Lepisosteus oculatus: one gene and its partners. The protein of the gene in region 3 interacts with the protein of the main gene of each other region in a pairwise test. Links are inferred from orthologs where the notes say so. Each region holds a gene or a part of one and is shown on either strand. Other genes may lie near its edges. The genes, in order: pdgfra, ezrb, erbb2 and fgfr4.

Region 1 (7,097 bases), on a different chromosome or scaffold from region 3:
TTCCACGCATAACTCTGCTTGTAAAAATGATGCCATTACATTATAAATACCAAGAGAGGGCGCTGCAGCACGATATTTGTTTACCAGGCGGAAGAACAGAAACGTTACAAGATTTTGACAACACATTTTTACATGATGCATAAACTTATTTTGCAGTGTTCTGAAATGCCATTTTAGGCGGTAGATCAACGATCAAACGATGTGATATCTAAGTAAATACCTAGGGCAATAAACTTAAGAAAACGTTTAATAAATGGCATAGATGTCGTACCATTCATACAGTCGACCTAAAATATTTCCTTCATTTCCTACATCTTAAGTGTGAAATCATAAAACACGAAATTAAAACGCTACATCACAAATGTGTATGAGCTTTTTGTCAGCTGAACTCATGTTCTAAAGGCTGTTATTTTTTACTAAAGGCTACATCTATTGTAACCTGTAGTGAAAGGGCAAGTAAGACGAATATTTAGTAGGTTGAATTGGTCATGTTGTAATGTCTAATTATGATGAAGGAGGCTAAGCTAATGCTTGAATTGCTGGCTATCCTTGTCCGATCCTGAAAGTTTCTGGTCCAGCCGGAGCGGCGGTGTCTGTGTTTCATCAGTCCGCTGCGAGAGCCCCTGTCTTCTGTCGGGCTGCGGGACGAGACGCCGCACAGACTGCCCGCGCCAGCCAGCACAACACCTCACCACGCTTTCGCCTGCCTGACGCCCTCGGTCGGTTTTGTTGAACGAGTATTTTAATGTTAAAAATCAAACTCATTTAATTCTAAAACAATTTTATGTATTTTAAACGCTGCTTATTTTGGTCACATTAACTGATTCGGACACGGGCATGCATATTTTATTTTATTCATATGAATGCCAGAAAATAAGATATAATTTGTTGTTGTTGTTGTTGTTGTTGTTGTCGTCGCTCCTTTAAGGTCAAATATCGTTACATTTACCATAGGGAACACAAATCCTGACTTTTTACGTCTGGATTTTGTCATGAAAATGATTACGATATCGAGCGCATTAGAAATTTGGGAAATGTCCGACACTCTCCGTTTGGAGTTGAACTTCGTACTAGAAGTTTGCGTGTATTTCAATATAGAGCAGCGTATAACAATTTCGTACAGAGCCCTCGGAGTAGAGCATTCTGCACACAATGTAAAATTTGTTCAGAAAAAAAAACATGAAGTCCAATATTAATTTTATTCCGCATTTTGCCGTTTAAGAAATATGGTATTTTGTGCAGCTGCTCTTCAGATGAGCGCAAAGAGAATAATTAAGCTTGGCAAATCCCGGGGTGTTGAGAATTTAATGAAAATACTTTTTCTTAGTGCATTTTCGTCCGTCAACCCCTCCCCCCCCCGGGAAACCTGTTTAAGATTCCTTCAATGTGACAAATATTTAATTAGTTTCGACAATTTCGGTACAATTTGCCATGTGGATATAGTTATATTTTAATGAATAGATTTCATGAATCATCCGTGAAATACTCATGGAATCGCAGTCACGATGCCGGTAGAATATGGAAAGGAATTCCCGTAAGACTCCCGTCTTCTTCTGCGTTACTATAGGTAGACTAACGAATTTAGGAACAGCCGCAAATTTCTCCCAAGTCTCAGTTCTTGTCCTCAAAAGATCATAATAAACTGATTCAATTCGTTACTCTCCACAAAGCCTTCGCTGTTTAATTGCATCCCAGACGTGACAAAAACATAAAGGAAGGCAGAGTTTTCAAACCTGGACTCCCAAAAGACGGGAAAAAACTATCCCCACCATTCGTAGAAGTTGAATTAAAAAAAAAGCGAAGACGGAAGAAAATCAAGAGAATTCTTCAATCTGACTGTAAAAAAACAGAATACCACTATTTACAGCGGAATAACGAAAAAAAAATAGAATGCGTTTTTTTTTTTCAGTTAAACCCAAATGTTAAAACACAGCCTTTATAGTTGCATTTTCCAAGCTTTAAGTTCCCTTTGGCTTAATGTTACTTGGTTCCAGTTATCCATTCCAAAAGAACATCCCAAACGAACCTTTGTTCCATAAAAAAAATGTTTTAAATTCCATTTGCGGGACTTTAATTTACTTCACATCCAGTCTCAAATGTGTTTGCCATGACAGCCTGCAGCGCATCCCTCAGACCCAGCGAGCCTCCTGATGTGAATCGTCCCACTGTGAAACAAGAGATCGGGGTTTTCTCCATTTCGCCACCCGTTTCCAGGGGATCTTCTGCAGTGCTCCAGCGGACCGATGTGGAGGAAACATTATTATCCGTGTAATGTTGAATGACCTGTATTCCGTCCGATTATTATTATTTCAAAAGTATTTTCTGCTTTTCGGAAACCTTCTCGTCTTCATGATGAGCCTCTTCGGTTTTTTAGGATTCTGCATTACATCCCATTTCAAGCGGTACGCTAGTTTTTGGAGCTTCAAAAGCCTGCGGTTCCCCGCTATGATTTTAGACAATTCATTAGTTAATAGTTAAATTAAATTACTAATTACAAGGCACATCCTAATTGTAAAACCAAAATGTGCATTTGCTTTGATTGAAATTAAAAGGTTGCTTTATTTCAATAAACCAACGCGTTCTGACTAACAAAAAGTATACGGATTATGATAACTCTTTAATAATAATGTGCAATTAGTTAATTAAATAAGGAAGAGGTTTTTAGAATCGATAAAATGGACCCTTTAGAACCGCAGAGGTTTGCATTACCTTAAAAATAATAAGTTACAATACCTTGTAAATTCTCTTTATTTCCTTAAAGAAAACATTGACTGGATTACAGTCTCATGGATGCTTGGTTAGATCCAGTGATCTTCTTCCCGAAGGTCTCGCTAGCTGTTTTCAGAGGTAATCCACAAAGCGCAATCCACAATCCAGAGCGGTCAAGAGAAACTGATGTGTGCCCTGTACCTCCTGCTTCCACGGCTGAGCTTAGTAATGGGCTTCAAGCACAACGACTTGTAATTGATTCAATGTAACAGTCCATCCTTCCCCAAAAAACTAATCATCTGCCTTAAAGTAAATAAGTATCAGGAAATGAGCCCCCCTCGGGTCGCTTTCAAAATAAGAGTCGGAGCTCTCACCGTCATACCGAAACGGGAGTCGGATTTCGCTAAACTTTGCACTTAAAACTTTTTACACAGGGAGGAGGGCCATAGTACTACCAGGAAAAATCGGTCTCTTCTTTTTTTTTTGGTGGGGGGGTGGAGTATAAGACTTTTTTGGAGTCCTTCTGAATCAAGGCAAAGTTTACATTCATATGAAAACAATTGTTTACCCTTGTGAGTGGCATGCTTATATGTAATTTTATTCTCCAAAACGTAGAGGGCTTGGCTTAGGCGAAAATTAAAGATGATAAAATGGTCGTGTGACAAATTATAGTGAATTTTTAATTTCAGACAAACTTGTTCGACAGTTTTACAATTGACCCATTGTTAAAAATATTTAACAATCTATAAATCCGAAAGCAAGTATTTTTCATGTTTAAATGCACTCAAGCAGAGACAGACGGTATTCAAAGTTCGTCTCGGTAAAACTAGCAGGCAATGCAAAAATGTAAAACAACGCGTCCGCACAGCCTAGAAGAACAAAAAATACAGCATTAAGTATAAGGTGGACGTGAGTGTTTTTTTTTTGTCAAACACCAAATCTCTGGTGTGTCGCCTTCAACTGTAGAATTAATCCCATATGTTGCTATTACAATTCGTGAGGGCAGAGGGCGCTGGAATATCAGGGAAAATACAAACTACTAAAAACGACCTTACAAGCTACCCACTTCTTTCAAAATTACTTCTGTTGTACTTCTGTTTAAATTTCTCTCATTTATTATTGGTTTCCGGCTGATTCATAAAAATACACAATGTATATAATAATAAAATAAAATATAATAAACATATATTTTAAATTTTCGTTAATTTCGCACCAAATTCCATTCCTTCTCTTTACTAATGCAAAACCCCGGAAAGAGGGCGGGGAAGAGCAATTAGAGCAATTAATTCTTGCATGTTAATTAAGGTTTAAATGAATTTAAGCCCAAGCGCCCTGAATGAACCCCTTTACAGAAACCGAGCGGGTCCCTGTCTCCCGCCCTTTAGCCATTGCACTCCCGTCGCCTGTAGCTCTGTGCCGAAGCTGCATAGATCTTCCACTCTAAAAATGCAGAGCCCGGCTATTACTTCCATATGTTCCCCGGAAAGGCAGCTATGAACAGTCCCTTGTTCTAGATACTAACTGGGTACCGTATTATTTCGAAACTAGTATTGCCTGGTAATATGTTTTTTTAAGGGTATGTTCAAATCGGCATTTTAGGACTTTGTATTTTTGATCAATAAACCTAAAACATGAACAAACCATTAAGACAAACAGCTCCATACAGACTCCTTCCAACCTGCCTGTTTAGAGTCAAATATATCCTGCACATTTGAAAAAAGTCGAACGTCTACGATAATTAAATTGCCTTAAAACATCTGATGCTGATTACAATGTTTAATTATAAGTAGCCTATAAATAGCTAATGTGCACTGAGCGCAGGAGCGCATGCAGAGGGTTATAAATATAGAATAGGGGAGGAAGTGTCACACGTGTCTTAAATTTGAATATTCTGTCCCTTTTTCAACAGTGTGATTTCCGAACGAGCAAAAACCCAGATGGGACTGTGGCAGTAACTCAGATATTGATTCATCGTTCAGATTGGATTGAAACATTGTGGTAAAGCATTTGGACAGAAAACTTTCTGGAGTTGCGTGCACAAGGAGATTACATTTTAAAACCAAAACAATGGGGAATTACTTATAAGAAGTTGTAAATTGTAAAACTTGCATAGTTGTAAGTAGGCGTTCAAGTTCTGATTAGTAGCCGTCTCTGCAAGTATGATTTACTTCTATAACAATTACACGTCCCTAGCCAACTCCAGAAATACCGCGAGTCCTTTAAAGTTGAAGATTACATGGAATAACCTGTTTATTCTTCCAGATCTATTTGTATTTTTTTACAGTAGCCTCGGGTAATTTGGAAATCCTCATCGAAAAGCCTCGCATACCCTTCTGAGTGTGCACAAACTGGACAGTGAACAAACATCCCCCTTGCCAGGACTGTAGTCATGAAAGGTTTAACGAAAATGTATCACCGACAATTTTGTAAAAAATATTAACATACAAAAAACATTTCAAAGCACAGAGAAGAACGCCTCTGCTTTAATCTGTGAATGTTGATGCATAATTATTTATTTATTCGCGTTGATATGGACGTTTAGCCTTCGCGATGTCCCATAACGATATGAGTGTTAATGAAAGTTCTGTAGGAATGACAGCACCCAAAGTCACCCTCACCTCTGCTGCTCCAACTCGTACTTTTCCATGACGTCACTTCCCGAAATACTATAAGTACAGTCGCAAGCCTCACTCTCTTGTGCGTATTAGTCTTTCTGCATCCTTCCTCTCTTCCCTTTATCACCTTCCAGTTTCCCATTGCTTCATTCTTTCTCTGTAGAGCTCCTGATTAATTTTCTTCTTTGGAGATGCCGTTTCTGCAGGACACAGGGTTAGTGGAACAGGCTTGATGAGTCCTGGTCAGATTGCGAATCTGATACTTTGCAGCTTTCATTAACTTCTTCCTGACTGAGGTTCACAAGCGTTTACGCCTTCTGATAAATCCGTTGGGGTGCTGAGCACAGGATTGCTCGCTGGGAGAAAATGTTGCTGCAATTAGCTGGAAGGTGGAGGCTGAACTATAAAACGTGCGGGTGTGGTTATTAACACGAGTGCTTGGAGTTCTCATCCTTAGTAAGCTTTCGAACAAGTGCTGAAACATTAACTGGAGAACCTTAAAAATGTATAATATGAGATGAATGTTCTGGCTGCTGTATTTTTAGTTAATTGCACGATTTCCCCACCGCCTCACCTCTCTCCTCTGGCCGAGCATCTTGCCTGATGGCGGAAGAAGTACCACAGAGGCACAGGATTCAGACTCCAGACTCCAGCTCAGTCTGTGGCAGTCTGCCTACATGTCACCTTTCTGATGGCCGTGAGGTTTACTCATGATAAGAGAGGGTACAGTAGATCTTAGTGCAGCCAGCAGGGCTGCTGTATTTTAATATCTGACAGACCTCTCCAGACATCTACTGTCTAGCGCTCAGCTTCAGGTAATCACGTACTTGGTGTGCATTTCAATTGATCAGTCATTTGCACAGGAACAAGTAATAGGTTTATTCCCTGCAGAAAAAAAGAAGAAAGAAAACACATTTCAGCCGTGGAGCCTTCTTCAGGTGTGAGCACCTCTCTTCTTTTTTTCAGCATGGAATAAACCTATTACTTGTTCCTTTGCAGCCTACACATGCTGACGCAGCTGCCCACCTGAACTACTACAGTCATTTGCACGTTGTGAATGTTAATAAGGTTACAAACGATTTAAAGTATATTACACATGGGGTATGCTTGACACTGGAGTAATATCTTCTCATTTTAAAGTCCCTGGACACCCTTTCTATAATGACACCTGAAGAAGGCTCCACACCCGAAACATGTTTCTTTTCTTTTCTTTTTAGCATGAAATAAACCTTTACTTGGCCTTCTGCATCTTTTCTATAATTAATCACATGCTTTCCCTTGGTGGAATACACAGCAAACAGTCTGCTGTTAATTCAGCTCTGAGCGCTAAAATATTTTAACACCAGTTTGGTCACTTTTACAAAATGTAGCTGGAACCCCTCTGGTGATTTGTTTATCTTAATGAATCTAAACAAACTTGGACCTCTTTAGCCTTCAGACAGCATGGTACCATGGCTCTCTCCCTGTGGCAGAAGCTCCATAGATGATGGGTCAAGGCTGAGTTTGGCCCAAAGAGCAAAAGGCAAACAGACCCCAGTGGTGGCTCAAAGCAACCGATACAAAAATGCAGCAGCATCGTTTCTAAACCCTCAGGATCAAACTGAATTAACTGTCATTGGTCTTCTGATAAAAAAACAACCCTCTTTTCAAGACTGTCCCCAAGACTTTTCAAATCAATCAGTGTGGTGACCGAGACTCTGCACAGCAGGAGGTGCCGTGCTCCGGGCAAGAAATTAAACTGAGGTCCTCAATCCGCGATCATCAAAGATCCAG
Region 2 (7,985 bases), on a different chromosome or scaffold from region 3:
TTGATGTAGACTGTGCTAGAGTAAGTCTGTTTAACTTATATTATGTCACAGCTATGTCAATCGATCTATATATAGTATTATATACTGTATGCTGATATATTTTGGTTCCAAAACACATTGTTCGTTTTCAATGACTGTCAGTATACAGTACAAACTCCAAGTGCAATGTACAATAAAATGAAATTGCTCATCTGGCTTAATATACCCAATTGTTGCTCGTCATTTGTATAAAACAAGGATTATAGATCTCCCACGATAGATACCGTTTTATAAGGAAACGTTTTGTGAGCCTTCCTTTGTTCCTCCTCCCTACAGTACACGTTATAATGTAGTCTACATTATTAGGTCGTATCGCCTGTTTTTCTTCTGCGCCTCCAGTCGAAACACAATGGCGCTATTTTATTAACATTGATCTTGATCAGAGTGCAAGTAAAACTCTCGACCACAAGTCTAAGCGTACTGTACATCCCGCGTTCATCAACCTGTTGCAGGCAGGTCTAATTTGCGCTGCTGGATTTACAGCAGATATATACAGATCTATTTTAATCTTGTACTGCTATTGGCTATGTCCGGTTACGACACCTCCCCACCTAGATCAGAGTTCCACTGTCTTTGTGTCATGGGCGTGCATTTGCGACAGGCACTGCTGGTCAAACCCTTTGAAACTCTCACGTAATACAATTAGAAACGCAGTGGTATGGGTGTAAATAGACGCTTGCATCACTGCAGAAAAAAAGTTCGCTAACGGATCAAAAGTTGTGTTGCTATGATCCTGTTTGTTGTGCTAGTAAGGTTTATTGAATATGAATTTGCAGAACGCCCTGCCACACTGCGATAGCCAGATACACCACAGAAACGTCAAAGCAACCCGGATGATTGGGTTAAACATTATTTTCTAGTTTTGGAAATAAGAGGCTATACCGTTAAAGCTGAAGTCAACAAAGAAAATTGTTAATTATAATAAACTAAATCAAATTAAAAGTCTTTATAAAGTATTTTTACTATCTGTGACAGTGAAAGGGGTGTGCGGTATTCTTATCAGTTGGCTGAGATTTTCTTGGACCTGGATTGATTCTCACCGATCTACAACTTTGATTGCTCATTCTTTTTTCACGGAAAGATCATCTTTTAGGTGTGAATGGAAATTAAAGCCCCCAGACTCACACATATATATATATATGTATTATATATTTGTATGCACAAGGCAAAAACATGCTTGAAAATTGTTTTTTTTTTTCTTGAAGGTTGCATTTAATCACTTTATCTTTTTGAATTTCCTCTGGGCTATATAAATATATGCAAAAGGGGGATATGCTGATGGCTTCAACAGAAAAACTGAATCCTGAGTTCATATAAACCATTTAAAGGTTTGGAAACTGTATGCAGAGAGGGTAAGGGAAAAAACAGTATTTTTTATTCTTTCTCACTATAAAGTCAAGATTCACTAAAGTCTTCGATCACACGATGAACGTCTAGGTTTGGTATTTGCTCATTATTTTAGAAAATCTATTTAGAAAATCTATTCAGCTTGTGATGTTGTAAGAATGTACGTGCACTGTGTGGTATGCTTAGTAAGATTCAAACAGAGACATTTATGGGATTATGCATTTTTCTTTCCAAAAATACATGTATTCTTAAATTGTTGTGTGTTACCCTGTCATGTGTCCTGTCTGTTATTTATTCTGTACCCAGAAGCAGAGTAGCCCTGTCCACATTTGGGGCACCTTTCCCCCAAAATTGAGAGGTGCTGTGGCATCTAGGAAGTGTTGTTTTGCTGGTAATAATAATAATTAATAATTGCTTACACTTATATAGCGCTTTTCTGGACACTCCACTCAAAGCGCTTTACAGGTAATGGGGACTCCCCTCCACCACCACCAGTGTGTAGCATCCACCTGGATGATGCGACGGCAGCCATAGTGCGCCAGAACGCTCACCACACATCAGCTATCAGTGGGGAAGAGAGCACAGTGATGTAGCCAATTCATAGAGGGGGATTATTAGGAGGCCATGATTGGTAAGGGCCAATTGGAAATTTGGCCAGGACACCGGGGTTACACCCCTACTCTTTTCGAGAAGCACCCTGGGATTTTTAATGACCACAGAGAGTCAGGACCTCGGTTTTACGTCTCATCCGAAGGACAGCGCCTGTTTACAGTATAGTGTCCCCATCACTATACTGGGGCATTAGGACCCACACAGACCACAGGGTGAGCGCCCCCTGCTGGCCCCACTAACACCTCTTCCAGCAGCAACCTTAGTTTTTCCCAGGAGGTCTCCCATCCAGGTACTGACCAGGCTCACACCTGCTTAGCTTCAGTGGGTTGCCAGTTGTGAGTTGCAGGGTGATATGGCTGCTGGCTGCTGGTAAGCTTCATATACACAGTAGTATGGGCTCATCCAATTACTACTGCATAAGAAGCAGAAATGTTACTACAAAGTTAAGAGACAACTACAGATATTGTACCAATATCAGCATTTCTATACATGCTGTTTCTGAACCTTTATAATAATGAAGACAGAGTAGCAGTGATCAGAGAAACCAAGATATGTCATACGCAAGCTGATTCATTAAGCATCACACACGCCCTCCCTGACTTACACAGCTTTCCTTTTAAAATGAGAACACAATAAGCTGCCACCACACCTTGACAACTTCCCCATCAAAGGTTCACTGCATGTTATCAAAAACTTTTCCATTTCTGTTCAAAGATAACAATATTCTAGCAAATATAGCATTAGAATGAAGAAGAATTAATATGTTTTCACTCCTGCATTATTAGTGAAAATTTATTTTATTTTTTTGCGGGGGGTGATCATCTCTGGATAAAGGCATAATATTGTTTACAGATCTGGGTAAAAGGATGATTATAAGAAATTGTATAATAACCAATACAGACTGACATATTTCTGTATGTTGTTCGTATATAATGCCTATTTACTGTATAAGGGCAAGGAAGAGGAAATTTTGCCAAAGAGAAATTTTCAAATAAGCATACTGATTATAGTAGTTTCTCGGGCCCAACCTTTCCTTCACAATCCCTACAAGCAGTTCTGTGTAAATGTGTGCAGTTCTTTTAAGAATCACCTTGTCTGATGATGATCATGGGTGGTTCATGGGTAAAGCATGAAAGTGTGAAATGACCAAACCGATATCTAGATTTAAACTCTGTTAAAACCCTGCATCTGATAAGATGAACAGAAGGACTCCTGAATCCAAGCTATTCCACTGTTCAAACAGGTCTGAACAGCAAAAGAATAGAAGAAGTACATTGTCAACTGTTAAAAGAAACTGAACCTATGAGTTTTACATGAGCTAGCATGAAAAAAAAAACATTTCAAATAAAAAAATGAAACAAATGGAGCCATGGGATATGAATAAGATAGCAGCTTACTGTATTTGTATACATTTTACTTACATTTAACTTACCAGTGAGAGTGATTACAAATCTCTGTGTGGAGAAAATTAAAACGTTACTGAGCAATAATTAAAATAAGAGGTTGCACATCTTTATTACAGATTAGTGTTGACCACTTATAGCACCCTCCATACAGTATGTACTGTACCTGTGATAAACAGTCACTACAAGTTAATTTTGCAAGGGAAAAGCAGAGGTGTACACAAAGATTTCCCATCACTTATGATGTGAAAAGCAGGACTAAATATATCAAAAGCATACTTATAAAAATAACAACAAAAATTTAAAATGCCTAAAGTTCAAATTTATCCATATTTTGTAAATATGATGACAACAAATGTTTCAGCTTTAATCCTCTAATGTTTGTAGTTCTGTGGTACTCTAACAAATCCTCAGATGTTTTACATAAACCTCTAGAAGTTTCTTATTCTAGTATTTGTGTAATACACATCAACATACTAAACATGAAAATACTCATGGTTTGTAGTTTTCTATCTTACATATGTAAATATTCAATATATTTTGATAACATTTGTGTAAACCATTCTTTTTTAGGTCCTGCACCATTTAATTATTTCTGAAAGGATTGAGTGATGATCACATTTTCTTCTTCAGAAATCTAAGGAATTTCAAGGAAAAAATTAACTCCTTTGTTATGTTTACAGGTCACTAAATGGTTATTTGAGCTACGGTAGAGGTTTATCACCTCTAAAAGTAGACTAACAATTCTGACAAAGATAACCTATTCAGTGAAAGTCTGTATTACGTTGCCTGTGGGTTTCTTATTATCAGTCATATTGTGGCTGTTTCTACCACAAGAAGTATGTTTACTTTACTACTTCTAGTTTTATGAACCTAATAATTGCAACTAATATTTCTTGACATGACAGACACGTTCTATTTCAGCCATGATTGATGTGATTATTGGAGATGATTGATTTTTACCTTTCTATAGTGAGTAAACAATTCACACATGGCAACGAAAGTCACTGCTCACCGCCCTTTAAATTAAAACAGGCCTTGTACTGATAGTGCTGTGTACAACATCATTTGTTTCAGAGGAGCTTCTATCTTGACAAGATAAAACGCAAAAACTTGTGAAAGATGTATTATGCCTTATTGTAAGGTGGTTTCCCTGGATCCAGCTGCTGCACATAGAAACGCATAAAACCACACACGTCTCGATATCAGATGAATTCATCGTTTATTTTTCTTTCTTAAGACATTATGTATTACATTTTCAAAGTTCGCGAAAAGTTTAGTCCTCAAGATTGTTAAAGTTACCATTCATTCGGTCGTAACTTTTTATTTATATGTACCGTAGGCGAGGCAGACATTTCAACCAGACGTCTGCCGGCTATAGTCTAAGAACACTGTAGGAGATCATTAGCCGCATGAACTCTTCGTCTTCTTTGTGTTCTGGTCTCCCTATTCACTTTCATTTATTTATTTAAATTATTCTCTCGAGCTCCACGGATGTTGTCAGAGCTTGTTGCTGATAGGAGTCGCTGTTGGATTCGCCCCAGCGGTGACAAAACAGGAACCCAGGAACAGGGAGATAGAAATGAATAGAGCACTGTAGGACAGAATGAGTGGGTCAGCCATATTGCAGTACCGCTGACTTCAGCCGAGGGAGGGGAGTTTTCGAGGCTGCGGCTCGTCAGTGATTCTAATAAAATCACACCTGCTTCTGGTAAGATAATTTATTAAGTTATATTCAAGCGAATACTTTACTGTTTTCGTAAAGTCTAGCGGGATGGTGGAGGTTATGTTACACAGCTCTGTTTTGCACTTGTTAGGTTTTCAAAGGAAATCTCTCAACAGGTGTTACAGGGATTATTGTGGGCTGTGGCTAACTGCTGAAGGTTAGGTAAACCAGATTATTTTCTCTCAATTGCTCAACCATTTGGGTAAAAAAATGACGCATCAAGGTTTAAAATATGATGGCTTTTCCTTAAAATGATTGTATTCCTCTTCAGGTGAAGCTCTTAGATTTATCTCGCAGGCTTGATCTGGAGAAAAAAAGTTACGGTATACGTGCCATTTTAAGTAAGACGTTATTTTGAAGGAAAAGTGAAAGAAATCTGTTACTAGTATCTGTCTGTATGTCTGTGCATAAACCTAAATAACTAAATGTACGGATATATCGATACTTACATTTTCTTTCGTATTGAAAATGTATTATTGTAAAGCTGATTTGCTTGTATAGAATATTAAGCACGAACACTTTTTAGTCCTGTAGCTTGTGAATTTCAAGGACGGGATCGAAAGTAACCATTGGTAATCATTTCTCCTGTGAAGTTGCACTTCAGTCTTTCTCCGTACGTGTTGTTACATTGTCAGCAGTGTGTCTATAAAACGCAAGGACGTCGGAGTACTTTCAGTTTTCGCTTAATGTATTTTAAGTTTTCTATCACGGTAGCCCTTACATTTATTAATGGTGGCGATATATTTGGTTGAATTTATTTCTGTGCGTCCAAGGGTCACACCTTTGGAGGTGCTGAGGTAAGTATTTACCAAAAAGGGTGGAGACTGAGCGACCTTTAACTAGTGGTATTGCACACTGTCGGACGTCTTTTTTTCACTTGGGTGAGGCCCGTTTCTAATCAGGAGTTACATACTTAATAATGATTCATAAACGTATATCCCACAGGTTTACCTGATTTTCTGTCACATTACACAAGCTGAACGGAAGAACAGATTTCTTCTGATAGTTTCTGAGGTCTCTCAAACTTATTCCTCTACATTTTTTCAAGAGGAGTATTTCGGAGGAAAAGTCGTCCGCGTTTGGCCCAGAGTATTGAAAGAAAACTTTACTGAACCTCTGGTGGAACACATACAGGGAACCGAATATGCCAAAGCCGGTAAGTACTTTCATTTATCAAACAATACCCTGATGGAACGTATTTTATTACACAAAAAAAAACGAGTTTGTATATCCGTGTATTTAGGATATTCTTCAATGAATGTCATACTCTTTATATTAATATACTAAAGTTTATAGCTTAAATCACGTTCTTTTAACAATGAATTATTTGAAAACAATATTGAAACTCTGCTATATAATAATGTGTATCAAGATGTGTGCAATGTTTAATATGTCTAAATTGAAAAGTATAAAAGAAAAGCAGTTAAACAACTTAATCTTTATAGAAAAAGACTTAAGATAGTTCATCATATTTATTAGACTTTTAGAATAATGTTTGGATATTCTATATTTCTGAGCTGAAAGAGACAAAATAGGTTTGATCGGTGATTTAAAGGACATTTCGAGCCAACACAAGCAAAGGTAAGCTAATTTGCAAATGTGTATGCAAGGCATGAGCAATATTTTATGGAAGGACCAGATGTGTGGCTTTTCTTTGGATTCTGAAGTCCAGTTAAGATCATGTAGCATCTTGCCTTCCACAGTTTATTGCCTTATTATAAAGTATAAATTAATATTATATTTAATGTCATTAATATGTTACTGATATTACATGATTAAAGTTACATTTCAGTATAATATTGCATATACAAATGTTTTTACTTGTTTTTAATAAGGTTCCATAGGTACAGTATATGAGGAATCATTGCTCAGATGTGAATTTCAGGATGCCCTGTTTTTCTTTAAGTAGAGATAAGGATACTGTGTGCTTTGGTTGAAGTATTTCCAGATTAGTTCAACATTCCCTGACAGTTCCTCAGAAAGATTGCAGAGGTTGTTAATACAGGATTGATGTTCAGTGAAACTAGAGCATTCAGGGACTTAACTAAAAACAAGGCTGATCTTTGTTTCATATTCTGTCTGAATCTAGAAATATCTTGTGTTTATCCTCACAAGACATTCTGAAAATAATTAAATGAAAAATAAGTTTATTTTGTTAGATTCTACTCAATTGATTACACCAAGGCTATCCCTATCAGAGTTTAATACTCTTTGTTGTTCAAGTTGCAACAGAGAGCATTTAATGGGTAAATAAAGAACAGTTAAATAAACGTATTTAAATGAATAAGTATGTACTTTCTGTTAGAAGCCTTCAACAAAATGCTTAGTAACGTGATTGACAAATCCATCTGGAGAAAGGAAGAAGAAATGTGTGCGAAAAAGTGGATTTATGTTCTGGCATTGTATCAATCAGAGTGTAATCTCTTATGCTACTAATTCTCCATAAGTAGTTTCAGTAATTAAACTGAGGGATTAATCTCATGCAGTCAAATCAAAACTATTCCACAACTTTTTGCCTTCTATTGGAAAAAGCAGGAATGTGTGCTCATAATTGTTCTTGTCCCAATAATTATATGAAAATAGTTTTAGGTCCAAATGGAGTTTCTGCTTTTTAAAGATGATATGCTAAGCCAACAAGAATATAAATGTAGTGATATTATTTATCAGTAACTTTAGTGTGACCTCTGCCTCTTATTCTTTTGTCCTTAAATTGTCATTTTCTAACATGCGTTGGCATGACAATAGTTGTTGTCAGAGGAGTAATAACCTACAGCACATTTGTCTCATTTATATGCCTTACAGAATGGATTTTGTGTTCTATGCTGTAGTTCCTCACATCTTGAATCACTGATAGCTGT
Region 3 (7,335 bases):
ATCAAGACAAAAACGGCCCACCAGGAAACAATGCTCTGCAAAATAAAGACAGCGCATGAAGGAAAACAAGGAAACAAGGAAGCTTAAGCAATGGTATTTCAGTTCCTTTAGAGGCAGCACTACGCATAAATAACAATAGGTTACCTATTGCTGGACAGGAGACGGTTAACATGTCCCTTTTTACTGGCGTTACACTGTAACCAAACTGCCAAGGATAAGTCACTCAAAAAGGTGGCTGGTGGCGTAAATGTGCAAATGTTGTGACAAACTGTGTCTGCCAATGAGAATCCACAAGAGCTAGGGCAGTGCGCATCTTTACTGCAAGCCAAGCAAATCTGTTTTGATCCATTTGAGGATTTATTAGGTGAAGGATTTTGTAGAAAAAAATACCCATGACTGAAAACAACATCTATCATATTTTTATCTACAGCTCTGAGACCCACTTAACCATTATTAAAAGACAACCCTGGCAAATATCCAGCACCAGGTTTTTTGGCATGTACAGGACATAGAAGCCTACGTCTGGAAAGACCAGAAGAGTTTAAGCTGGAAAAACAGAGGGAAACCAATTCGTCTGGTACAATGCTGGACTGGCCAAATGCAGGCTAAAATCACAGTCCAGTTGGCAAAAGATATTGCCACATAAAAAAAGAGATTATAACCATCTTCTGTGCTGAAAAATGACCGCTTGCTAATTTTAAGAGGATGTCTTCTTCCATGAAGCTGAGGGTCAGTCTTCTTAGCTTCAGAGGAGAAGCTGGAAAGGGCTGCTGAAAACATCCTCAGCATCCAGAAGGAGCTCTGAAAAATGCTTAGGGGAAGACAATCGCCCTTGCGCAGTGCTGAGAAGCCCATCTGGAATCATTATGCCCAGAATCCGTTTAGATACTTCCCTGCTTTCCTTCAGGCATTGGGAACGACAGCGGGAATCTTTGCATCCCATAACTAACCCGTCGGAATCCTGCCGACAGACTCTCAGGCTCTAAAACCTATTTTTAAAGATTGTGGGAAAAAGGGTTTGGGTTTGCGGAACTTGAAATTACTCTATCCACAGGAACAAGTTGGCTGTTGCAAAAACGGAAAAATAGAAAAAAAATGATTCGGCTGTTTAGAAAAAAAAAACAACTGGCAACTGGAAGTGCCAATGGGACTGCATCTCCATGGAGGAGAGACTCTGGGAAAAACCAGTGGGAAGTGTGCGACCCAGAACTGGGCACGAGATTTCAAAACTACAGCGTTTCCAACAGCCAGGGTGTTAAAAAGGCTCACGCAGTGCCTGAGCTCAGGGTGGCAGAACAGGCCTCCACAGGGAAAGATGGTGGAAACCGTCTCTACAAAGGAAAGGTTTCAAAACACTCAACTCCATGGAAAGACTTTTTGCCATAAAAGTAGGCTTAATATTTTGGGATGGAAAATAAAGCCGACACATATAGTGCCCGGTCAGTAAGAAAACAACTGCATTTCAACAACTGCATCCTTGGGCAAAGCTCTGGAACTCTTTGCCCAAGGATATTAGAGAGTCACCTTCTCTAAACTCCTTCAAATCCTTCTTCTTCAGAAAAGCCTTTACTTAACTGGTTCCATTCTTCACCCCTCTGCTCTTCTTAGTACCACCTTCCACGGTCTCCTCTATTGTTATTGTTGTATTGTTGTAATTATAATTGTGTCCTATCTTGTGAAATCTTCTTAATTATTGTTGTAGTCTTCTTATTTATTGTTATTGTCATCCTGTAAAGCGCTTTGAGAAGCCACCTTTAAAGGCGCTATATAAAATAAAGTTTATTATTATTATTTCACGGATAACAGGAAATGCCACCTTACAGACTCACTTGAAGAATATGACACACATCACCACCGCCTTGTGCACAACCTGGAACCAGATATCAGCAGCGAATAAGTTTGTTTTGACTGTGCCCAAGCACAACAAGAGTGCTGCATCGCTGGAGAGGGTTGTAGAGGGGAGATGTGGAGTGTTTCAGTTCAAATTCCGTAGCCAATAGCCTATTTGACTACAAAGTTTGCTCAACGTCTGTATTTCGAAATAGGCTTATACAATTGTTTCTGAAATCGATACTTCACACAAATCTGAAGCCCGGCTAGTTTATTATTAGCTTATATGTCAATACACAACTTGGCGTTTCTCTGCGGCATCTCCGCCGCAGTTCGGGGCTGTAATTATTAGGTGTCAGGACTGGTTTCCAAGATTATACTGGCGACGGGATACGGGTTTGTTTACTACAGAAAGGTATTCTTCTTCGCTATTAGGATTATTCTGTTTCCACTCGAGTGTCGTCATTCAGAGTCGCAAAGCAGGTTCTCAGGCAGCCGTGAGTATTTTCTAACACTCCCCTTCCCGACACAAACACACCTCCTTTAAGTATTTGGCTTCGAGTTATAGTGTTTACATATTTCGAGAAAGCGGAGTTTTAAACAGCACCCAAGCCGTCCTGAAATCGCGCCTGAAATCGCACTGACACATCCAGGGAAGTCCCCACGAATTGGACCGAATGTGGGAGAGAGCGGCGCGGCGCGACGCGGCTGGGGGTTGGAAAGTTATTTTCGAGTCGCGCAAGAAAAGTTTCACGCTCGGGAAAACGTGAATCGAGGGGACACAAAGTCTCCCCCGAGAGTTTTTTTTCCCCCCGCGTTTCCTGCCCTCTCTCCCTCCCCTCTCTCGTCTCTCGTGGCCCTGAAGAGAAATGAAAGTTTCAAAGTCAACCCACCTTCCCTGCCCCGTGTGCCCGCAGTCACGACCAGCGCAGCTCCGAGCAACACCAGCAAACTTCTCCACGGCGTTTCCATCGCCTTCGGCTTCTACTCCATAGCGAGCACCGGGCGCCTCGGTTTTAGTCGAAACTTAAGAACGGGCAGTCTCCAAGAACCTCTTCTCCTTCCTTGTCGATTTCAAAAACAATATCCCAGCACTTCCCCACTCCTACTCCCTGTCTCACTCGCTGTATCCCTTCCTTGTGGCTGGTAGGCGAGGGTGACGCGCAGCGCGCTCCCGGGGCCCGTGCTGGGAGTGGCAGAGCTGAAACTGAGCCGAGAGACCGACCCGCCTCACACTTCACTCAGCTTGCTGCTGCTGGTGGTGGTGGTGCTGGTGCAGGCACCGTGTCCGCCTCTCTCTCCCTGTCCGGCTGTCTCTGACTGGGCAGAGGAACCCCAGCAAGGAAAAAAGACCCTTCCGAAAACGGGGACAGAGACTGGGCGAGCTGCTAATCGGGTGCTACAAATGTTCGGATTCCATGTTCAAATTCCCTAGTCTGTGCACGCCGCCCACGCAAAACAGTATCTGAAATTATCATTATTATTGATATGCAGACAAGCGCATTTGTTCTGCACTGGCGACTGAACTTACTTATATCGCTTATTTTTGAATTAATTCACCCAGCTATCATAACGACGTTCGTATCGCGTTAAATGTTTGATTTTGTTTTCCCGGCTTAGATAAATTAATAGGTGACTGTTCTGAATAGTCCTTGTTATTCTAGCGTTAATCAGGAAACAAAGCTCCCATTCTGTTTCTCCTGTCATGAAACTGCCCGCCGGTGTATGCCAACGAGCAAGGTGCAAACGGCTAACAACTTTCTAATCGTCGTACGTCTCAGCAAAATGTCTTGAACAAGTTAGACGGTGCAGTTCTTCTATTCTTGCAAAAATGATGGCAGCTTGCCCTATATCTTAGTCTTTGGACTGACATTTTTCACTCGCAGACCCAAGATTCTTTTTAATCGACATTAAAAATAATAAGTTAAAAACTCACACCCTGAATGGAATTCAGTTCAAACCCCTCCCATGTCAGACCTCGCGTTTCGTTTTACAGGCACCAGGAATTTCCATTTAAATGTCTTGCTTGCGTTACTTTTTTTTAATTAAAATTCAATTACACTGACAGCAGCTTGCGAGCAGCGGCAGTTTGTCATTCTTTGTATCATATTACACCCAGTGACACCCGTTGTCTCGTTCCGGCGGTTAGGCGGCTCTGAGATGTTGTACAGCTAATAATAAACCACATTGTCTGAGAGTTCATTATAAACCCGACTGGTGTCAGGGGTGACAACCCGAACACAGCTGACAAACTGGAATTTTTTCCGTTTTCAAAAGAGAGCGCTTTACGAAACAGTCGGGCTGCAGTTCTTCACCCCGGACTGTATAGAAATCTTAGTTTTGTCGCACTTCTGACTACAGTTATTGTGAATTTGGGGTATTGTATTCGCGCACTGTCGTGGGAGTATTGATTTCTAAACATCTCTTGCTCATTGGTGGTCTTTTCAGATGGGTTTAAGGAGAGGGATCACGGCCCGTCTGTGACAAATCTCTTACGTGGAAATATAGTTGTGGCCTGAGACGCGGATTAGGCTAAAGGTGAAAAAATGACTTCGCACTGCGAAAACTGACACCTGTCTAGGTAATGTCTGCCTGCACCTGTAATATACAGAAAATAAATCGTTAAGAGAATGAGAAAAAAAAAAAGATAATACCGGATACAGTATCTACCGAGATTTATCTGAGCTCCCCTAATCATTGTAATTAAATCAATTATCCACCTACTCGGCTTTGTCGTGACAATCAGGCTGCAATGTATTATTGTATGATTGTCCTAATAAGAAACCTTCTGATCAGGATGTTTTCAAACATTCTGGCATGGGAAATAAAATTCGGCTATCTGGAAAAAGACCTCCAATTTTTCTATACCAAAAAAAAATCAAACTGATGGCAATGATCGTTACTGTTAGCGAGGAGGTATAAAAACCGAGCTGGAGGCCGGAGCGCTTGGACAGAGCGTCGATTTCGCGCAGCGCTGGGCTTGGGGAGGAGACAAGTTGCTCATTTTCGGCGTTGCCCTGTGGCTGACATTCCCTTGACTTCCACTTTCTAGTCAGACTAAACAACTCAGCTGGCCAGCGCTCGGCACCTCCTCTTGAAGTTTTATTTGGGGGGGTTAGTGACGGTGAACTGCTCGAGCAGCTCGCGGGTGGGTGGGAGATGCCGGGCGACGGCGCCGGTCCGAGCTGTAACGGTAGCGGTCTCGGCACAGTTTTCTCAAAACACCATAACGCCTGGTCAAATATGTGTATATCTTTCTGTACAGATCCACGGTCATACTTCCCAAATGTTACACGTTAGTTACAGTGTTAAATGATGTTACAAATGTTACAGCACACCCCCGAATTCCATCGGAGTCTGTAATACTCAGCTACGAAGGGTCATTAAGATCCTTTTTTTTATAGCTATTGTTATTTTTACAAAAAGGTGATTACCTCAGTTAAAGAGAGCGTCGTAAAGGTATTGGTAGAATCATATTTGTTTGGTTTTTGACCATTTCCGGCGTGAACAAGACTTTTGTTGTAAAAAAAAATATTTTTTTTTGGGTGCTTCATGCACTTCAGTGTGTTTTAAGAAGACGTGTTTTTTTATATGTATTCTATTCCACTGAATTGGTTGAAATTCCTTTTGGTGTTGTAATATTTACTTATGTATGATTTAGAACACGAGAAGACAGGGAAAACATTAAAATACTCCAAAAGCTAAAGAAAGGATGCTTGTCTGTAGGGGTTTTCTTTTTACAAAGCACACCATTAATATATTTAGTTATTTGGCAGAACATGACACGTTGGCGATGAGGTGCTAGGGTTTGTTTTTAAACTCAGTGCACAAATAAATGGAGGGAGACAACACCTCACACGTCAGTCAGGTCTGTTTTCAGCCCCTGCTAAACTGTTGCAATTCAGTCCCCACCCCAAGAAAGTGACCACTGAGGACGCATTTTAAGTATTGTTGACTATGGGTGATAACTCATAAGGCAAACTGGGGAACCAAGTTCATTTTACTTTAAAAAGGCCCCTGAACAGTGTTGACCCACACCCCTGAATTGTACTGTCTGTAAGATACGAACAAGGCCAGTCATTGGTGGCCACCATATCGGCTACCCACCTCTCTTCACAGCAGAGAAAAGGACTGGGGTCAAGATGTGGACAATCTCTTTCCTCCTGGACCGGTATTGTGTGTGTATGCCCTCTCCGAGACCTTCGTGCCTCTCAACACTGTGCCCTGGTCATTCCTGATACTGCAGGACTACAACACACAAGTCCTCAACACCCACAACAAGTTTAAGAGAAAGACGAACTCCTGGAAGGTGCTGTGACTTTAAAAAAACACAACAAAAATGGCAGCTGAAGTAACAGAAGACTATTTATTTGGATTCTCATTCGTTTGCATTTTAAAGCTCCTTTTTTTTTGGATACAACACTGGATATATACAGGTTCATCATTCCCAAAGAGAAGAAAAAAATGACAATGTGCATACGTAGCAGAGAGGGGGCGCTGTGGAGCACAAAGTGTCTGGTGGCATGCCAACTGGTTAGGAAGGGCTCGGGTATTTATATATATATAGACCTGGGGACACCTGCAGGGACGCCCACTTGCTCTTTTAAGGTTTGTGGCCGTCAAAACGGAATGGAAGTTGACACGTTTTGTATGCAGGAAACAATCCTCTCCACTCCACCTTCCAAAGTGAGTCAGTCCGAATTTCTGCCATCCTGCCCCCCTGACTCAATCCTAAATCTCCCCCCTCTCTCTGTCCACCGTCTCACTCTCTCTCTGTATCTGAAAGCTGCTAGATTTATCCACATCATCTATCATCCTACTATCTTAGTGGAGACGTACTCTTGCACCGCAAACACAAGCATTCAGGATCCCGGACAGCAAGGGACAGACACACACACACATTCCCAGATCAATCACAGGGTTCCCAGGGATACAGCAGCCTACACACATACAATCACACAACTCAGACATATCACCTGCCCAGGACAAACTGGCAGTGTTCTGCATTTGTGAGCACACAGGTTAGTATGTAAAGAAAGGGTCATACTAGTTACCTTGTTCTGCACAATCGGTTGTATGAATTTAACGGACTTTAACTCTGTTAAAACAGTTTGCAATTACAAGGTATAATGTAGCTGCACCAAGTACAAAGTATAACTGCAAAGTCCTCAAAGTGAACTGCATCCTGCCCCCACCCCCAAAGAAATGAGAGAATACCTTTTTTTCTGTTAAAAAAGCAGACTTTGTACAGTTCACCACTAATTTTATCCTGCGAACACACTCCAACATAGACTTATATACCAATGCAGCCTCACTGCTCAACAATACACACTGAATTGCTCACAGTCTGCACAAAGATGTCTGTTTTCCCTGTCTCCCAGTTCAAAGCAGTTTATCTCAGTTGTCAAACACACACTGTCCACCCAAGGACACACACTTCCTCAAGGACACTGAAGCGCTGAACTGCACACTTACCCCAGCCAGCACACACTTGCACTGGAATTG
Region 4 (7,911 bases), on a different chromosome or scaffold from region 3:
ATACATTACAATTCTGGATCTTCATATATAGAGGTGTTCTGAAATGATAACGTGAAAATATCATGTTGGGGGACTTCAAAATTAACTATCATCACTACTGTGGCATCACACATCAGCCTCAGAAAAGCACTCAACTTCTGTTTTAGGCAAAAGACGGTTAATTTATAAGGCAGAGTACATCAGGTTAACCTTGGGTGTGAATCAGAAAACCTGTGAAAGGAAACAAAGGGCAGGCAACACATGCAAAATAAAATTGATTGCATCGCCCGAGTCATTATCAGACCAGCCTGCGCTGATGCCATTCGTTTTCAAGCTCAAAGAAAACGGTGCAATAACCACCTAGCCCAGCAATTAAGGTGGCAAAGTGAAGCTTTAAGGAAAGTTCGTCTTTTGAGCCGGGTGAATGCTGGAAGGGTATACACTGGAAAACAGAAGAGCTACAGATAATAGGCTTTAATGAGGCATTCGGACTCAGGCAGCTGGAACAAAGGGCTGGCTTTGGGATTGTGGAGTGTGTAGAATCCGAAGAGCAGGGAGGAGGGGATTGTTGTGGCTCTGATTGTGTGATTTAATACCAACTGCGTGAACCGAGCCAAGGGGATTTTGTTTTTGGGGATTGTGTGTGTGTGTTTGGCGGGGGGCGGGTAAAACCTAAATGTCCTCCGCCAAGGGACCCGAGAGTCCTGGCCGAACTCTGGTCAGACTCGGAGCTGCACTCCCGCCGGGAGGAGGACAAGGCGAAGATGAGGACGATGATGAGGAGGAGGATGGATGTTCCAACATTCGCTTTTTCAGGTCTCTTCAGAAGACTCTCTAGTAACGGGGATGCTGTGCGGATGTGGGCGTGAGTGAAATGAGTTTGCCGGTGTGTGCTCAGCTGGGAAGGATTTAGCCTGCAGAAAGGAGGCTCAGGGAGGAATACCTGGATTATCCAGAGGGATTTACTGCTCCAATTCAGAGCAGCACTAATCAATTTCAGGCAATCGGCACCATGCACCCCCCCCCAGCCCACACGAGCCAGCACAGCCTTCCCAGTACGGCTCCTTCTACATAGTGGTTTGCCCAACACCCCTCATGTGAAACACATCTCTGTCTTAAGGAAAATCCAAGCACTTTCATCATTCTGATGTAGTAAATCTGCTTTAGAATCTGACACAATTACTCAAACCAAGATTAAAAAGGAAGCTCCTATCACTGTAAAACCCTCTACAAGAACAAAACCAATTACTCTGCAGCTTGCCGTGTAAAATCACACTACCAAACGGATATCCAACTTGTCGTGAAAAGAACGCGGAGCGCATTTGCTCTCAATGTTGCGGCGACTGTAGTAACGCTTTCATGCGCACTGCTCAGTTATATGTGGTGATCATATTCCTTCCACGGAAAAATGTTGCCTTACACCACTTTCAAGTCTTAAGACAGATCTCCAAGCTTATAAAAAGTATTCCAAATAAAATATCCATTGTATTCGACTACAGTTTTGCAATGTAACGGAAGTCTCAGGAAATTTAAGGGTGGTGTTTATAACTGATGTTTGGCTTCATCTGTGGTATTTCATATGGGTTTGGCAGTACATTGCATTCTACTCTTTGAAATGTAAGAAATAAGGTTATCTTTTCAACACTTTCTCTGCTGTAAAAACATAGGACATATCAATCAAGCAGTTGCGAAAGTCATTCTCTGCCTTTCCCAAAATCCTCAACTTTTAACTTGTGCATCAAAAGTAGAAGCGGATATGTTATTGCAATGATACCAGTTTGCTTTTTAATCTTGGTTTGGGTAACCGTGTCAGATTCTCAACAAGGGCACGTTCAGAATCTGATAAAAATGCGTCCCGGGCACGATGCGATTGTATTTTAGAGGCTGATACGGTACAGAGAGGAATCTGCATATCCTTTTCAGAGCGTGGTTCAAAGCAAGTAGGTACAGCGCAAGCTGGAGAGAGAATGTGGTTACTGGCAGTCAGCCACACCATGACACCATTGTTTCTGATGAGTGAAAGATATTCCCCTCTCATGCAGAAAATTATTGGCAAAGGCCTCAGACCTGCTCACCACATCTAGCTTGCGGAAACTCTGGTGGGTGCTGCTGGTTAGAGGCTTGTATCACTGTTACCTCTGAGAGGCAGTGTGGGCTTCTAGCCCTACACCACCTCGGCTTCGGAAACAAACCCAGTCTCAAGCTAGATCGCCCCCCCCTCCCCGAGGCTCGGGAAAGGTAGGACCTCATTCTCACTTCACACCAGTTCAATTATAACCCTGCCTCCACTGATCTAATTAAAGAAATCCTCGCCGTTTTCCTTCATTGGTGCGATTTTGAGAGCTGTTTGGGCAGTGCTTTTATGCTTTTGCTGTGTTTCTCGCATGAAGTCACTCTAGCTCTGCTGAGAATTGCTCGGGTTCTGTCTTCACTGCAGTCTACGACTCTGGACCAGGGGAATGGTGAGATGTTCTGAGCCAACAATGACCATGAATAATGTTTACTACAGTAGCCTACAGCTCCTAAGGCCTCGCCAGCAAAGCGAAGGCCTACTATAAATTCAAGACATCCACCGCAACCACAGCACAACTAAGATAATGTCATGGCAAAAGAATGAAAATACTATAATAAATCTACCGAGTTGATTTATTACGGATTGTCTTTGGCATACTGCTGTTAGATAAAATCGTTCATATCCAGCTAAGATCGTTTGAAGAAACTTGCCAAGGAGAAACTCTGAAACTCATATTTTTATGTCTGCTTCCAGTTTCACTAGGTCCTTCTAGGTTCTAATCAGCACGCGAAACCAATCTCGAGACCCGGGAACAACGCTGAAAATAACACATGAGTATGAAAACAAGGACAGCTTGGCTTTCTCGTTCAAATCAGCCAACAATAACAAAATCTAACGATTAACAATAACCATTTTCCGAACAGATTCCACTTACCAACCCCACATCAAAGTGTTTTTGGAGTGATTCATGTCAACGCAAAGGATGTGCCAGCGCTGTTTCAATACCAGTCAGTTGGTTTCCCATAATGTATGCTTCTCTGCTTTTCTGTGTGCTGCTGGCTTCTTCATATTACCGACTTCGGGCAGAGCAAACTTTCAGGACAGGATGGGCTTTTGTGGTAGAAATCAAATCACTTCTTCACTCACTCAGATGTTTAAAAGATTTGATTTCCTATCATTACTCGTGAACTAGATTTACCAGGCAGTCAAGCAGGACAGCAAGAGAGTCGTTGTGAGTTTGTGTGTGAATGTCTGACAGGATCAAACAGCCGTGTGTATTTGCTCAAGGTAAAGGTTGTGTATTCATTGGTCTGTTAATCTAAAAACAAAGTGACTGAGGGAGAGGTGACAGTCAAAAATAAAGAGTAAAAATGCACAGGTCTTAGGCTTAGTCATAGGCTAACCCTGGAGACCCTGAGAATTTCTGACTTTTATTTTGTATTTCATTTCACTGTCAGTCACATCTTGCTACAAGTGCTGTGTATCACATAGGACAGTTTCTAGTGCATTTTTGGAGAAAGCAAAAAGTGGATGAGTCCTGCTGTACGTAAAGTAGTCTTTCAGTATAGTACATACAACAGGACCTCTCCCTGAATCTGACTTAGAAACAGTTTAATTCCCAAGACAACATGCAGTATACTGCACTTCCTAAGAGAGCCTGGAACAATTGCAAGGTTACTGATGTTGTGTACTGACCCACTGGTTGGAAACCTAATCTATTTTCTAGGGTTTTTGTAATAGGAGTGACTTCTACAAGAATGGCAATATAGTGTAGGATTCAGATTTAAAAAATAAACCTATAGTGTTTTTGTTTCAAATGAAATACAAAATTGAAATCCATCAGATACAGCGATAAAGATACGACATAAATTAAACACCACCCATCTAGAGATTGATTTTCTAAAAGAATGGATTGCTCGGAAATGAGCACGAAAGAGATTATCCGTGTAGAATAACATTTTCGACGGTCAATAATGTCGTCAGTGCGGCACTTTGTACTGCTGTATGTTACTTACAAATTCAACTTAAAAGTTAAACAGTGACGAAATGCAGAAAACGACGAGCTCTGTGTGTGGAATACCGGTAACGGCCTGTAGGCGTGATGCATACACGAACCTTCAGATTCAGCACTTCATCGCTTAATAAGTCTGAAGTTACCAATAAAAGAAGCTTCCGATCGGTTTGACGGACTTCGCTTTGACCTACTCCGGGTTCTGCAAAAATCTGCTAATGGGGATTTTTTTTTTGGTAAAATCATTCTCCACAATAACGGAGAAATTGACCGACAATATAACGTTTTAAAATAAAAACTACACACACTGCATAAAATGCAGGGATGTCCACAATAGTGAAGTTTAGGAGTAGGACAATTGCCTATGATGGGTGCTATTAGTGTCAAGCATGCTTTAGTGAATTGTATACAGTGTACATACAACACATGAACTGCTTGTACAGGTATGATAAAAAGGCACAGAACTATTTTAAGACTACAAACACACACTTAAATCTTTGGGGGGAACGAATATTAACCATTGTGGTCTCGGATTCTACCGTCATTTTATAGAATATCCGACGCAACGCTGTTTCTCTCCGTTTCAGTAAGAAAATAAATGCATTATTGCCAACATTTGTTTTTCTAAATTGCAAGCAGAAAAGGCCCGGGCTGTTGGTCCGTTCGGCCTTCATTTCCAAAGTTACCGTCGCTCAGAAGCAGCAACTATTGTATTCTGGCTTTCATTAAGAAAAAAAAAAGGGTAATACATTTCTCAACTACATTCCGAAGAAGCGCTTTAAAAACGGACGAGTGAATGAGAGTCGTTGTGCACACAGCACATCTTAGGTTTGGATTTGGCGCTTGGATGCTGCGAGGGGGGTCTGTGAGGGAATTATTTCGGGGGGAGGGTAAGAGAGTCATTCCCCCCTCCTCTTTCTCATTCTCCTTTAAGTCTATTGTTGCGAGTCTTGTGCTTACACTGCCCGGAGCTACTATCAGTACTAAAATGCTCGGAGCGGCTTTGCGCTGTAACCGGAGAGTCGCTAATTGAGAACCCTGGACCTTCTGGCTTCCTCCCGGACGAGCCATTAGTGAAGAGATACCGAGCAGAGCGGTGCACAGACTCCGCATCTGCTGCGTCGCTGCAGTCGATGTCGTTTTTTTAAATTATTTACGTCCCAAGTCCTGCAGCAGGGGTGAAAAACAGAAAGCCTACACGATCAACACCTTTCAGCGGAGCCGCGGAAGACAAGCGAGAATCCCGGAGAAGGGCAGGAGGAAATGTTGTTCGGGGATTTGTTGTTTGTAATGGATTTTGCTATGTTTTTTTGCTGGGGCTTTTGACTCCTGAATTTGCGTGTTTTGTAAGCTGTTGTGTTTTTTTTTTTTTGCTTCAACCTACAAGGAATCGGTTGTTTTTTTTATTATTTCGGTCTGGAGAAAACACAGCCAGGACGCTGGACTTGTTTCGGACTTTGCACTCAGTACCAGGGTGTCAGTGCCTCCGGGGACTCGCAATTTCAGAAGCTAAACCGTAGTGTTTGGGGATAAATCCGTGCAGCTCTTTTCTCCCGGAGGAGGAACACTTGAGTACCCGAAGCTCGGGTGAGGCCGCAGAACTCGGGACCCAAGTCCTAAATGGGGATCCATCTCCCCGATGTCTTGGAATTGTGATTTATCGAATTATTGACTCATCGGTTCGCGGATACGCCAACAACCCAAGATACCGAGGCAAGGTAATTACAAATCTTAAACCATTCCCACCTTTCCGTGAAACATGAGCTCTGAAACAAAATTAGGACTTTATTTCGTGATGAGGGATGTTTATTACAGGGCTTTGAGCGAGGTGCCTCTTCGCTGTGTTTTTAATTCTCGTTTTTGAGAATGACGACTGTGTGTGCGCTCGCAAGTAAGCGTCTCCCCGACCAGTTACGCAGCCCGTGGGGGCTCTAGTTGTGTTGCAGAAGGGCTGGTGTTTAATTATAGGTTTCCTCGGCAGTTTGGAGCGAAGTCTCAAGTGCTCCGGCTAATTTTGGAGTTTCAACCAAATTCCACAGACCGGTGACACCGCAGCTGCAGTCTCTCTAGACTCCGGTGCTTACCGACCTCTCTGGACATCTCTGCCTCTCTGTCTCGTCAGATGTTTCTAAAAACAGAAGTGAGGTGGGAAAAAAAGTCGTTTTCCCTAGACGGGTGCGTGTCCCGTAGTTGGATGAATCAATCACTCGAGCTGTATGAAACAAACGTTGCGCGCGTCCTTTCTATGTCCAAGAGCAATACGCTGTAAAAATGAAAACGAATACCTGAGTTGATTTGAAAAAAATAAATTAATAGGACGAGTTAAATTGAAATGAACACCCAACAAGGTAGTCGGTATGAGGCCAGTTCTAAACTCGCCAGCCGGCGTGACTTAAAAAGGCAGTGGACTCGGTATCCAGTGTTTGCGCAGTAGTTAAAATTTAACCAAAGATACAAGTTGGAAAGGAACAGAGCTAAAAGGACCCCTGCCTTTGATTTACGGTGGATGCAGAGTCACCGAGGGGGGGGGCTGCTAAATTTAGCCTGGGCTAGTAGTACAAAACTGTGTGTTACCTTGACCATCGAGTCACGTACTGTAGAGCTGGGCTCCGGTCGCTTGCGTTTTTCTCTCTTGTAGCTCCGAGACACGTGAAGTGTGGACTCACCATTTTTTTTACCATTGGTTTACTTCAGCTGCCTTGGCACGCCTAAAAATTATTTTTTTAAAAAAAGAATAAACCTTTGTTGAGTTTCCGGTATTTTTTATTACTGCGAGCTAGGTCTCGGTTAGCGTACGTGCGAATGTGAGCGTAACGCGATGGGTTGAAGTGTTGAAATACAATATCCCGATATCAGGGCCATAGACGATGAGACATCCTGAAAGGCATTGAATGAAATGATGCGAAAGTGACACGAATTCTGATTCTAAGCCATTGTTTTTTCCCCAAAAAAAGTCGCATAATTTTATCGAAACACGCGATGGCCAAGTAGCTGGAACAAGTCACACCGGACGCTTCTGCGCTAATCGCCGGGGTCTGCCCTCGCACTTTTAACGCTGTTTACTTGGTACTCCTTGGATTAAAAAAAAAAGAAAGAATCCCATCCCCATCTTTCCAAGCCCGTGTCGCCGTGGCAACGGCTCTCGGGCTCCCCTCCGAGCCCTCGGCTGGTGCCAGGGAGCGACAGTCAACTGCACTTTCTGCGCGCTGTGATGGGAGGGCGGGGCGGGACAGACGTGAGACAGATGGCAGTTGCGACAAGTGAACCGAGCCTGGTTGTGTTCCCTTGATAAGATCGGAAAGGCGCTGGCCGTGGCCTTCTCCCGGCTGTCCCGAAGGGTCTGTCCGCTGTGAACTGTACAAAGCACTCTTGAGGCGAAAGTGTTCTTCGGCGGTGTTGAAGGGCATTTTTTTCCCATGCAACACCCGACACGACTTGCAGTTAGCAAAATGCGAGAGAAAGCATAGATATCGGAATAAATGAGCGTTAATCTGTGTTTTTTCCCCCCTGTGATTCGTGATTTTAGAGGTGTGTGGTTACATTATTTATATAGTATATAAGTCCTAAGTGCACAGTAACGAGAATATGCTGCCAAAGATGATCGGCCGTACGCCACAATGCACGGACTGTCTCTCACAGTGTTTTCTTTCATTAAACATCAACAGTGTGCAGTCTGTTTGGTGCTGGGGTGTGTTTTAGGTGAGAAACTTAGTTTAGAAACTTACAGTTTCTCTGGAGAAATGGCCATTAGGAGCAGCTCTTTCCTGGAGCATGTTTGGAGTGAATTTCTTACACAGGAAAATACTCCAGAAAAGACTTGTTTTCTCCATAGTGGCTGATCATAAGTGAAACTAAATGTCGCAGAACGTCAGTCAGCTGTCCTGTCTCTGGCTGCCTGCATATAACA

The links.
Region 1: the proteins of erbb2 (region 3) and pdgfra interact in a protein complementation assay, tested with the Homo sapiens proteins (2 studies listed by BioGRID, with this or other methods). The link is inferred for Lepisosteus oculatus from reciprocal best matches to the Homo sapiens genes ERBB2 and PDGFRA.
Region 2: the proteins of erbb2 (region 3) and ezrb interact in a protein complementation assay, tested with the Homo sapiens proteins (2 studies listed by BioGRID and IntAct, with this or other methods). The link is inferred for Lepisosteus oculatus from reciprocal best matches to the Homo sapiens genes ERBB2 and EZR.
Region 4: the proteins of erbb2 (region 3) and fgfr4 interact in a protein complementation assay, tested with the Homo sapiens proteins (2 studies listed by BioGRID, with this or other methods). The link is inferred for Lepisosteus oculatus from reciprocal best matches to the Homo sapiens genes ERBB2 and FGFR4.

The regions. Positions count from the first base shown.
Region 1 is NC_090696.1:78,516,369-78,523,465, reverse strand, and holds the start of pdgfra (platelet-derived growth factor receptor alpha), read right to left. Parts: upstream 3,012-7,097; 5' UTR 2,734-3,011; intron 1-2,733. UniProt on the Homo sapiens protein: Tyrosine-protein kinase that acts as a cell-surface receptor for PDGFA, PDGFB and PDGFC and plays an essential role in the regulation of embryonic development, cell proliferation, survival and chemotaxis.
Region 2 is NC_090697.1:44,087,931-44,095,915, reverse strand, and holds the start of ezrb (ezrin b), read left to right. Parts: upstream 1-4,972; 5' UTR 4,973-5,112; intron 5,113-5,197; exon of another isoform or gene 5,198-5,289; intron 5,290-5,822; exon of another isoform or gene 5,823-5,924; intron 5,925-6,175; 5' UTR 6,176-6,271; coding exon 6,272-6,283; intron 6,284-7,985. UniProt on the Homo sapiens protein: Probably involved in connections of major cytoskeletal structures to the plasma membrane. In epithelial cells, required for the formation of microvilli and membrane ruffles on the apical pole. Along with PLEKHG6, required for normal macropinocytosis.
Region 3 is NC_090723.1:5,670,389-5,677,723, forward strand, and holds the start of erbb2 (receptor tyrosine-protein kinase erbB-2), read right to left. Parts: upstream 3,018-7,335; 5' UTR 2,803-3,017; coding exon 2,724-2,802; intron 1-2,723. UniProt on the Homo sapiens protein: Protein tyrosine kinase that is part of several cell surface receptor complexes, but that apparently needs a coreceptor for ligand binding. Essential component of a neuregulin-receptor complex, although neuregulins do not interact with it alone.
Region 4 is NC_090706.1:39,850,117-39,858,027, forward strand, and holds the start of fgfr4 (fibroblast growth factor receptor 4), read left to right. Parts: upstream 1-4,897; 5' UTR 4,898-5,722; intron 5,723-7,911. UniProt on the Homo sapiens protein: Tyrosine-protein kinase that acts as a cell-surface receptor for fibroblast growth factors and plays a role in the regulation of cell proliferation, differentiation and migration, and in regulation of lipid metabolism, bile acid biosynthesis, glucose uptake, vitamin D metabolism and phosphate homeostasis.